3 linked regions of the Caenorhabditis elegans genome follow. The protein of the gene in region 2 interacts with the protein of the main gene of each other region in a pairwise test. Each region holds a gene or a part of one and is shown on either strand. Other genes may lie near its edges. The genes, in order: rpl-3, aap-1 and spp-24.

Evidence for each region.
Region 1: the proteins of aap-1 (region 2) and rpl-3 interact in a two-hybrid assay, tested with the Caenorhabditis elegans proteins (one large-scale study listed by BioGRID).
Region 3: the proteins of aap-1 (region 2) and spp-24 interact in a two-hybrid assay, tested with the Caenorhabditis elegans proteins (one large-scale study listed by BioGRID).

The regions. Positions count from the first base shown.
Region 1 is NC_003281.10:3,865,698-3,869,454, reverse strand, and holds the start of rpl-3 (Large ribosomal subunit protein uL3), read right to left. Parts: upstream 1,602-3,757; 5' UTR 1,593-1,601; coding exon 1,228-1,592; exon of another isoform or gene 1,226-1,227; intron 1,127-1,225; exon of another isoform or gene 1,011-1,126; coding exon 875-1,010; exon of another isoform or gene 873-874; intron 827-872; coding exon 386-826; exon of another isoform or gene 384-385; intron 251-383; coding exon 1-250. Other genes in the region: acs-19 (Acetyl-coenzyme A synthetase), read right to left, coding at 2,625-3,453, 3,505-3,757. UniProt on the Caenorhabditis elegans protein: The L3 protein is a component of the large subunit of cytoplasmic ribosomes.
Region 2 is NC_003279.8:5,105,859-5,109,615, reverse strand, and holds the start of aap-1 (SH2 domain-containing protein), read right to left. Parts: upstream 1,774-3,757; 5' UTR 1,773-1,773; coding exon 1,600-1,772; intron 1,553-1,599; coding exon 1,293-1,552; intron 1,112-1,292; coding exon 846-1,111; intron 619-845; coding exon 187-618; intron 107-186; coding exon 1-106. Other genes in the region: use-1 (Vesicle transport protein USE1), read right to left, coding at 2,058-2,195, 2,245-2,420, 2,469-2,603, 2,648-2,735, 2,995-3,070, 3,121-3,176, 3,228-3,323; pas-3 (Proteasome subunit alpha type-4), read left to right, coding at 3,571-3,757.
Region 3 is NC_003280.10:38,031-41,272, reverse strand, and holds spp-24 (Saposin B-type domain-containing protein), read left to right. Parts: upstream 1-1,735; 5' UTR 1,736-1,785; coding exon 1,786-1,860; intron 1,861-2,143; coding exon 2,144-2,323; intron 2,324-2,368; coding exon 2,369-2,668; 3' UTR 2,669-2,715; downstream 2,716-3,242.

The sequences.
Region 1 (3,757 bases), on a different chromosome or scaffold from region 2:
CGGCCTCGGCAAGGAAATCTCTCTTGAGTTTTCCCATGAAAGCACGCTTCTCGGCTGTGGTTTGGAAGCGACCGTGTCCGGTCTTGGAACTGGTGTCGATCCACTTGAGGTTGATCTTCTCGTGGGCGACTCTCTTGGTTTGGGTGATGAGCGACTTGCGGAGGGTGATAAGACGCTTCTTTGGTCCGAGAACGGCTCCACGAAGCATGATGTAGTCCTGGTTGACGATACCGTATCTTGGGAATCCTCCCTAAAACAAAACAATTATTAAAAATTCATGAAAATTGATTACAACGCCCGATGTTCTCAGATAAAATATAGTCGCCATACAGAGTACGAATTGCAGACTTTTTCTTCATAGAACGGTGAAAAAAATAAAACGAACCATTGGGGTGATGGTCTTCTGGGTAAGATCGAACTCGGTGGATCCGTTGTTCTTTCCTTCCTCAGTGAGAGCAGACTTTCCAATACGGTAGATCTTGTTGTTGATGATGGTACGGTGATGGAATCCCTTTTGTCCAGCACGAGCGACAGTGAAGGCGACACGAGATGGATGCCAAGCTCCAATACAGGCGACCTTGCGGAGACCCTTGTGCGTCTTGCGAGGAAGCTTCTTGGTGTGCCATCTGCTGGTGACTCCCTTGAATCCGTGACCTCTGGTAACTCCGATGGTGTCAATCATCTCATCCTGAGCGAAGACGGTATCAACCTGGACTTGTTTCTCGAGATGCTCGCGAGCCCAGTCGACCTTCTGCTCGATGGTTCCTCCGTTGACTTGGATTTCGACGAGGTGAGCCTTCTTTTGGCGACGGCGAAGGATCTTCATCTGCAAAATATAACTTAAGAATACAAACAAACTAAATATAAATATTACCTGAGTGTGAGCGATCACACGGATAGAAGAGCAGTACTTCTTCAGCTTGGCGAAATCAGCCTCGATGAGCTTCTTTCCATCCTCATCTTGCCACTTCTTGGCGTACTTGGTGAAAGCCTTCTTCTTGGATTTAGCCCTGTAGTTTCTACGATTACGAACAAAATGCCTTTCAGCGTACAGGACGCTTTAGCCACTCAGTTCGTTTACCATCATGTACATAAGTACAGCGGAAGGCAACCGACTTAGAAACGCGACTGCAAATACAGACTTGTAATCACGAAACCACCAAATGACACCAAAAACGCACCATAACACTGAATACAAAAAACGAAATAGTTGAAAAATAAACTAACCAGTTGCTGTAGAAGCGACGACGAGCTTCCTCGGACAAGTGCTCGGCCCAGATGGTGGTAAGAGCACGTGGTCCTTGTGGGGTGTCGACGTATCCGGTAACTCCAGCAATAACCATTGGTGGGGTCTCGACGATGGTGACGGCTTCGACAACCTCCTTCTTGTTAACCTTTGATCCTGGCTTATCGACATCACGGACGATATGGGTCATACCGGCCTTGTATCCGAGGAAAGCGGTCAAATGGATTGGCTTGCTCTTGTCATCCTTTGGGAAAGCCTTGATTCTTCCACGGTAAGTGCGGGAGCGCTTCTTTGGGGTGAATCCCATGTGTCCATGTCTCGGGGCCGAAAACTTTCGGTGAGACATTGTTGTACCCTGAAAAATATTAATTTTACGAAAAAATTATAGAAAAAGCATGAGCGAACAAAGAATAAAAATTGCGTTTTCGGTTAAAAAATTTTTTAAATAACTACTTTTCTAGACAGATACTAATTTGAACATTTTAAATTTAGAATTGCACGTAAAAAAACAAAATTTATTCGAAAAAAACATGAAAATTTTAGGCTAAAACAAATTGAAATGAAGTTTAGGCCAGTGAAAGGCGTTGGGAGACCCACACACTCGGCGCACACTTGTGCGTCGCAAAACACGCTTTTACCGTAGCTGTGGCGGCGGAGTGTACAAGTGTACGACAAGCGCGGTTGTTTGAATTCGATTTCTTTCGCAGTTGGAGAGATTCTGCAAATAATAATGTTTTTAAATACATTGTTTTTTAACGGGAAATATTCATGTAAATCAAGTTTTATTTTGAAGCATCATTATATAATCAAGAAAATCGATTTGCTTTGTTCAAACGGCCTATCAAAACAACACACTTTATGCTTAAAATAATTCATTTTCCTGTAATTTTGCAATGCAAGTTAAATCAAATATTATTTTGTATTGAACTTTCGTGGTTTTTATCATAATTCATAAAAATTGAGCTAAACATCAGATTCACTGGGCATATGAAATGCATTTCTCCATGTAAGTATTTAATCTTCTTCTTGTAATTTCATGTTTCGTGTTTTAATTATCCGAATAAGCCAAAATTGTTATCTGAAAATCTGAAATTGAGTTAAAACAATTAATCAGTTCTGAATCATTTACTTGTTTTCTAATTTCGAATTCAGGGTTCAATAAATTACTGGGGGAAATTACAACACTGGAATTTAATTCTACACAGGAGTCAATCAGGGAATGCATCTTGATTACAAAGAAGGTCATGTTGGGGTTAAAAGTTTAGATCTTGCATTGATTCTGCAGAAATTACAACGATAGAGGGGGAAAAGAGAAGTAATACAGAAAAAGTAACATTAATAGTAAGAATTGAATTGATTTACAATTGTTCAAGTTCGTTTATGCACGTGCAGAACGTCCAGAGATTAGTTGTTTGATGACAGATTCGTCGACTAGAGTAGTAGTATCACCGATTCCACTTTCGGATCCTTCAGCAATCTTTCTCAAGATTCTTCTGGTAACCTTGCCGGAACGAGTTTTTGGAAGTCCTGGAGCTTCTTGGATAACATCTGGAACAGCCAATGCACCAATTTTCTCGCGAACTAGTTTCTTGAGCTCAGCCACAAGCTTTTCATTGATTCTCTCTCCAACATTCAAAGTGACGAATGCGTATGGGAAGGATCCCTTGATGTCATGTGGAGCAGCAACAACGGCAGCTTCAGCAACTTTCTCATGAGCCACAAGAGCTGATTCAATTTCAGCAGTAGACAGAAGATGACCACTGACATTCATCAAATCATCAACACGTCCAGTTATCCACAAGTATCCATCTTCATCACGTCTGGCACCATCTCCAGTGAAATAGTATCCATTGAATGGAGCCAAATAGGTCTTGACAAAGCGTTGCTCATCTCCATAGATTCCACGCATCATTCCAGGCCAGGCACGATCAAAGCATAGTGATCCTTCTCCCGGACCTTCAATAACACGACCTTCAGCATCCAAAAGAACTGGAGATGCTCCGAAGAATGGCATTGCAGCTGCTCCTGGCTTCATTGGAGTTGCTCCTGGAAGGCATGTGATCATGTGTCCTCCAGTTTCAGTTTGCCAGTAAGTATCCACAATGGATACATTGGAAAGTCCAACTTGCTTGTACAACCACATCCATGCAGCAGGATTGATGGGCTCTCCAACTGTTCCGATAACCTTGAGAGTTTTGCGAGAAGAGCTGAAAATTAAAAATAAAGATGCTGAACAATTATTTTTGAATAATTATTACCTTTCAAGCCACTGATTTCCGAGAGCCATAAGAGCTCTTGCGGCTGTTGGTGAGGTATACAGCTTGGTCACACCATACTTATCAGTGACATCCCACATTCTAGAAGGAGTCGGATAAGTCGGCACACCTTCATACCAAATTCCCTTGAGCCCATTCATCAAAGGTCCATAAAGAAGGTACGAGTGTCCGGTGATCCATCCACAATCGGCAGTACACCAGTAAACATCGTCTTCTTGTGCATCAAAAGTGTATT
Region 2 (3,757 bases):
TCAGGTAGACATTGCTGTGCTCGAATCCCCATCCTTCTTCGTTTTGTTCGATTAGACAATGTGAGACACGTTCTCCGTGAAGTACACTCAATACGAGCTTATCACCCTGAAAAATATTCAATTCAATTCAAAAATTAGCGTGAATGAGGATGAAAAGTTATTCTTCTGATAAAATCATAAACTAACATGAGAAGAGGATCCTCGAATCAAGAAAATACCATCTTGTGGCTCTCTTTTCAATCCAACAGCCTTGTCAAGTTGAGCGATCCGATAGCGAGCATGAATCAGAGCATTCGCAGCATTTTCCTTAGAAGTTCCACACATCAAATATTGTGCCGGTGTCCACTTCAATTCCATATCGACAAGAAGTTGAGTGACTTTCGTTGGCTCACTGTTTATCATTTCCGCTCCAGCATCAAGCATTGCAGCCATTCTCGAACAAAGTGCTGGTTCCATTTTATCATAGACTGCACTACGAAGTTCCATAAGCTTGCAGAGTCGTGTTTTTGAATTGGATCTTTTCATCGCGATTTCATCCAAAATTCCGGAGAGCGTCTTTTTCTTATCCTTTGATGACGTCAGTTCAGTGTTTATTCGTCGAATACTTTCTTCCACAAACTGCAAAATAAAAAAGATAAAATTCAAAACTATAATGGTTAAAAATTGAGGATTTGCTCTAAAATCATTTTTAAAAAACCGAGAAAAAAATTGAGCAAAAATTAATAATCCAGCTTTGAAAATATTGAGTTTTGGCTAAATAACAATTTTAAATTGAACTTCTTTTTTTTGCTTTAGAATTGTTTTTTTTTGGTTTTGGATGTTTTTTTTCTTCAAAAAACGCTTACTGTCTTATTATTTGCAAATGCTCCTTTGAGCATTTCACTTGTTGTCTGCGATCCCTGTATTTGTGTAACGACGTCTGTTTCAGCTTCTAACAAATTATTCAGTTTTCCAAGTTTAATCTCATTGTCCCGAACTGATTGATTCAAAGCATGATAGAGACTTTCAGCTCGTTCCATTTCTTGATGAGCTGAATCATATAGCTTGGCTCCTCTCTCAAATGCCAAATGTACTGCTCTCAAATTTTCCATTTCCAAGCGTTCTCTCCAATCTAAAAAAAGCATTAAATTTACTAATTTTTATTTTTTTCAATCACTCAGACGCGAAATTTTGCCACTTTCGCGATAAAAATATGGTACGAGGTCTTGAAACGACAAGAGAAATTCCGCAGCAATTAAAGTTTGAAATTACAGTATTTTTAAATTTAGCGTTTGCGTTATAAAATAATTTACCATGATCATTTTTTGCACTGAGAATCATACGCTGCTGAAGTTGCCCCTTCTTGAAAAATGGTTTTCCATTTTGAGAGTTACGACGAACAGAAACTGGATATAAAAGACGAACATCAAGTGCATCATTGAAAATATTGAGAGAAATATTTCGATGAAATTCAATTAATCTGACAACAGAATCGTGAGTTAATGAATCTGTATTGAATCCGCATTTTCCATCTTTAACAACGATTCGGAGAAGTTTCACTTGGGCGGCAAATCTGAAAAAAGGACTATTAATATTGAATACTAATTTTGAAAAACCCACTTCACAGAAAGTGTATAATCTCCAGGTGTACTAGCATTTCTCACAATAAATGATCCATCAGGTTGATCAGAAAGTGCTTTCGAAACTGCAGATCTATCAGCATCAGCCCAGTACCATCCTTGTTCCATAAGACTATGAGTGACTCCATGAGGAGTTCCAGGTGTTGTGCTCATTCTGAATCCTTATATATATATATATATATATAATTAACGGAGGAGAAGAATCTGTGGTGTTTTTGCCGAAGTAGACTAAATCTGGCACAAGACCAAGCCGAGACCAAAAAGCAAAGCATTGAAATTTGTGAAAACACCAAAAAAAACCAACAAAAAAAGTATGTATAACATGGTCTGTAGACCAATGGAAATATCAACGAGAAAAAAAATTCGAAGAATGCAAATAATTAAATAATTTTATTTGAAATATTTACACCCATAAATACTAGCAATTCGTCCCGACTATTAAGTGCTCGCTTTTTTGAAAATTTTCATCATAAGAACCATTGATACGAAGCTCATAAAAATCAGAACAATGAGCATGACCTTGAAACAGTCATAACCACATTTGTAGGCGTGACGCTCAACTCGCTCACTTTGAATCTGGAAATTTTAAGACTATTATTTGAAGTTTATATAGTGAAGAAATTACCCCGAGAGCTGTTTTATTATCATCGACTTCTTTCGCCATTAATATTGCTCTTTCTGTATCTTCTTTAATCACATCTCCAGCAGCCGACATCATCGTTTTGAATGATCTCGCCATAGTGGCCAAACTATTTGCTAGCTCCTCCTCGACAAGCTCATTTTTCATGAATTCCTGATCTTCTATAAAATTTGACGAATTTTGAACAATCATTGGATACTAATTTTTACCAGATGTGTCTTGTGCTCTATGTTTATTAGATGAAAGCAACTGCTTCCGAAGATCTGATCGATAGATGGATCGTTGAGTAGCTCGGAGTCCAGCTGCGGATTCTTTTTCAAAATCGTAACTTTCCGCCTCGTTATCTGCAATATAAACATTAAAATGAAATATTGAATAATTCAAAAACCATTCTTGGAGTCTGCAACAGTTACTTGGACATCGGGAAATACACGTGGAATTTTTTCAATCACTTTCAGGCGCTCCTCGGCTGACGACTGGAAAACTTACTGACAATTTCATAACAGTTGCGAAATTCACAAAATATTTAAAGCTGTTCAACTTGTTTTCTTTACTTAAATCTAAATTGAAAAGAGGGACATAAAATCTACGGAACATTTGCATAATATTTTAGGATTAAATTTTTAATTGAAACAAATCAAACAAATTCAAATTAAGTTTAGAAATTATGTAAAAATTTGTATCTTTAAAGCAAAATTACAAGATCGAATTTGCTTGTCTAAAATATCTACAAACCTTGCTTTCAGCTTCAGCGAGTAATTTCAGTTGCAAGACTTCCTGTCGGTACTCGTGGAGAATATCATTTGTGGTTCTGGAAAAGTAAAACTATAAATATTAAAAAATGTATTTTGAAAAACTCACTCATCGTTTTGAAGTGTATAAATCATTTTATTGAGAATCTTTGTAGCTGCAGAAACCTGAAATAAGAAAAATAATTAATTAAACAGAACTTAAAATGTGATACTTGCTTTCCAAACGTTTGCTGACATATCCTCTTTTGTCAAGCGCTTTGTTCGCTCGAGAAGTCGTAGAAATTTCAGCTCATTTTCAGAAATATACGCCATTTCATTGATGTTTTGACAAAATTAGATAAAAAAATAAAAATAAACGTTGACAACTTGAAAACAAATAAGTTCGGCCACGGCCGAGAAATACAAAAATGCAAATGCGCTCATGCGCGAAAAAATTTTCAAGTCATCCTTTTTGTCGAGGACTGAGAGATTCTTCTTGTTTTATGTAATTTTTCTATAGGTTTCTGCCGTTTATATTTTAAAATCATATTTGTCTAGATTATCTTTATATTTTCAGAGAATGGCCCGTCGTTACGATAGTAGAACGACCATCTTCTCTCCGGAGGGAAGACTGTATCAAGTCGAATATGCTATGGAGGCTATCAGCCATGCTGGAACTTGCCTCGGCATTCTCTCATCGGAAGGAATCGTCGTTGCTGCTGAGAGAAAGAACGTTCACAAGTTGCTGGATGATTCTGTCATGACTG
Region 3 (3,242 bases), on a different chromosome or scaffold from region 2:
TTGAAAAGCTGTACATTTTTATCGTACTTTTGCAAAATGTTTAAATGTCTGTTTATTACGAGAACACAAAATTCTGAGAATACGTATTGTGCAACATATTTCACGCGCAAAATATCTCGTAGCGAAAACTACAGTAATCCTTTAAATGACAACTTTAGCGCTTGTGTCGATTTACGGGCTCGAATGGATTGAAATAATTTTTTTATCGATAAAATATTAAAATCACGCTAAACATGAGAAAATTATGCAAAGAAACGAATGAAAAAGAAATATCGCTGTCACTAGTCAAAAAAAAGATTTAATTTCAAAAAATCGAGCGCGTAAATCGCCACCAGCGCTACAGTAGTCATTTAAAGAATTACTGTGGTTTTCGCTACGAGATATTTTGCGCGTCAAATATGTTGTGCAGTACGCATTCTCAGAATTTTGTGTTCATGTTATGATAAACCGAAATCTGGAAAATATTATTAAATGGCTCTCCTCTGATTACGAAAATCTAAGTGAAAAAATTCACAAAATTTCCCTGATGTTATTTCTCAGACAATGTGAGTATTAAACTACTGAATACTAAAAAAAAAAATTTTTTTTGGTTGCACAAGGTTTTTTTTTGCGAAAAGTATTTTACATTTATGGAGTCACAACTAGTGCGTCATAATAATATTACTGAAATTTTCGAATAGATTCCGATTTTGTCTCAAAAGATTACAATTTCATTTCTAAATATTGCGAAAGTGCAAAAAACTCTACAAAGACTTCGGTTTTATCTCAAAAGATTACTATTACGGCAACAATAAATCATGAGAATGCGTACTTGGTGCATTTTATTTGACGCGCGATATCTCTTAGCGAAAACTACAGTAAGAGCTTAAATATCTATTGTTATTTGAGTTCTTACTGTAGTTTTCGCTAAGAGATATCGCGCGTCAAATAAAATGCACCAAGTACGCATTCTCATGATTTATTGTTGCCGTAACAGTTAACGTTAACTGTACAATTCAAAAATAGCAAGACCAATTTGGAAATTTTGTATGAAATTGTTTACAGTTATAATTTGTCTCTCACGGCTTCATTTATAAAAATAGAAAATTCTCAAAAGACTCCACCTTTAATAATTTTCAATTCGACTTTTACATTTTAGACATGGTGCATCGTGACAATAACAATGTGTGCTCTCAACTTACCATATTTTACGCGCAAAATTGAATTTTTAAATGGAAAAGAACATGTTTTATTTAATTTTACGCGGGAAAAGACTACCAAGTTTTAGGTTTTTTGGAACAAATAATTTTCAATTGAAGTTTTTTTGCTTTCTAGAGCCCTGTTAATTAAAAAATATATTGAAAAGTTTTCCTGTGGTATTTGGCTAATTTTGACTGTAAGTTGACACCCTTTTTCCCGCCGTGGAAATTTTATAGATAATGATTCCAAAGTTAGGAATTGGCCGATTTTGTTAAACTCGCCCGTACACTCCTGGCTCAAATGTTTAGTTCCGTGTTCAGCACGGAGGTCTTTGCGGATGGAACAATTTGCATGTTCAATTCAATTGTACCAGCATTCGATGCTTATGTTTTTCAGTTGTTTGAAATACTCAGACCTCATTGTGGTTTAACCCACCATTCCTAAGATGACCTTCGTGATGTCAATTTGCGTAGATTATCCCCTTCTTAATACTCTTCTTTGTTTTCAGTTCTCTTGTCATTCTCGGTCTCTTCCATTTCTAATTATCGGCTTTCAGGCTCCACCCATTTGGTTTTCAAAAGACAATCATTCAGAAAACTGGGAGATATGCTCGTAAAGTTTTTGTGCTTAGTGTTACCAGTGTATAGTATTCCAATTGCCCCATCTTTTAAGGACTTACAGGTGAGTTAATACAAATGATTGTATTTTCAACAAAGTTATGAGTAGTAATCTCAAAGTTAGAAGGCTTGTGTAGATATGTCACAGATTGCACTCTATTAAATTATATACACCGTATTTCCTCTATTACTCTTACATGCAAGATTATTATCAATCGGTTTGTAGGGGGTGCCAGACTAATAGAGGAAATACGGTATTCAAAAATAACGAGCTTTGTCTTGTTCTGAAGTTACAAGCTTTGAGCTAAACGCGCAGTAGGATATGAGAAAAAAGTAAAGTGTTACAGACAATAAAACCGGACTACAAATTAATAAAGTATACATTTTCACGTGATAATGAAACCGATGTCATGAGTCCGGATCCTCCGAGTCTTCAACTTATTCCACTGGATTTTCTTTGCGAATTCTGCCAAGTTGTGATTTTGAAGCTCAAAGAACGGCAAAAAACAGAAACCAATTTTGAAGAGGTTGTTAAGTATAATCTCAGTAAAGAAAACCTTATTTTTGTTCAGACAATCAAAAAAGAATGCCTAAATTCGACAGATGATTCGAGTAGCTTGTGTGATGTGATAAATAGAGTGAATCTGGAACGACTGAAAAAAGGAGATCCAAAGGATATATGTGAAAGTCAGGGAATGTGCAATGGGTCTACTGGCACGACAACTAAAGACAATGGACCGCCTGGTGTGTCACCTAATCAGAGTATGGGAACCCCTGCAAAGCCTGCAAATGAGATAGAACGACATTTAACAATCGATGAAAAATCTGTGAATGCAACGTTAAATGTTGAAGACATAGCTCCTTATAATTAATATATGTGTGTTTTTTTTAAAATATAAATAAACACAAAATTGAGCATAGTTTGAAAAATTACACTATAAAAAGGAATTTCTAAATGGAAAAATTCAGCGTTGCATGCACACCAAATTTTCCAAAATTTTGGTGATTACTAATTTGCCAACACCCGTATTTTTCAACGGAAAGCAAAACATAGGCAGTAGGTAGGCACGTACACAGGAAAATAGAAATATCATCACAAAGTGCTGTAGAACTATGATGCTTCAAAAATGTTCTTTAAAAATGTTGTCCCGAATTCATAGTAGTTCAAAGTACTGAAAAATGCCGCATGACTTTTTATTTATCGCATAATGCTTTTAAATATTCAACAGTTTGTATTTATAATTTTGTGAATTCCCTTTCATTTTGGCAAAATTCTCATTTTTGAAAATAAGTTGTTATTGTTCGGTGTTTCGGTTTCTTTTATTTGTGTTTCTGTTCAGTTTTCATGTTTTATTTCTTTTGTGAAGTCGCCGATTATAACATACAACAATAGAACATAGGAAGAAGAAATGTTATTAAAACTGATGAGTGAACCAATGTCTTTAG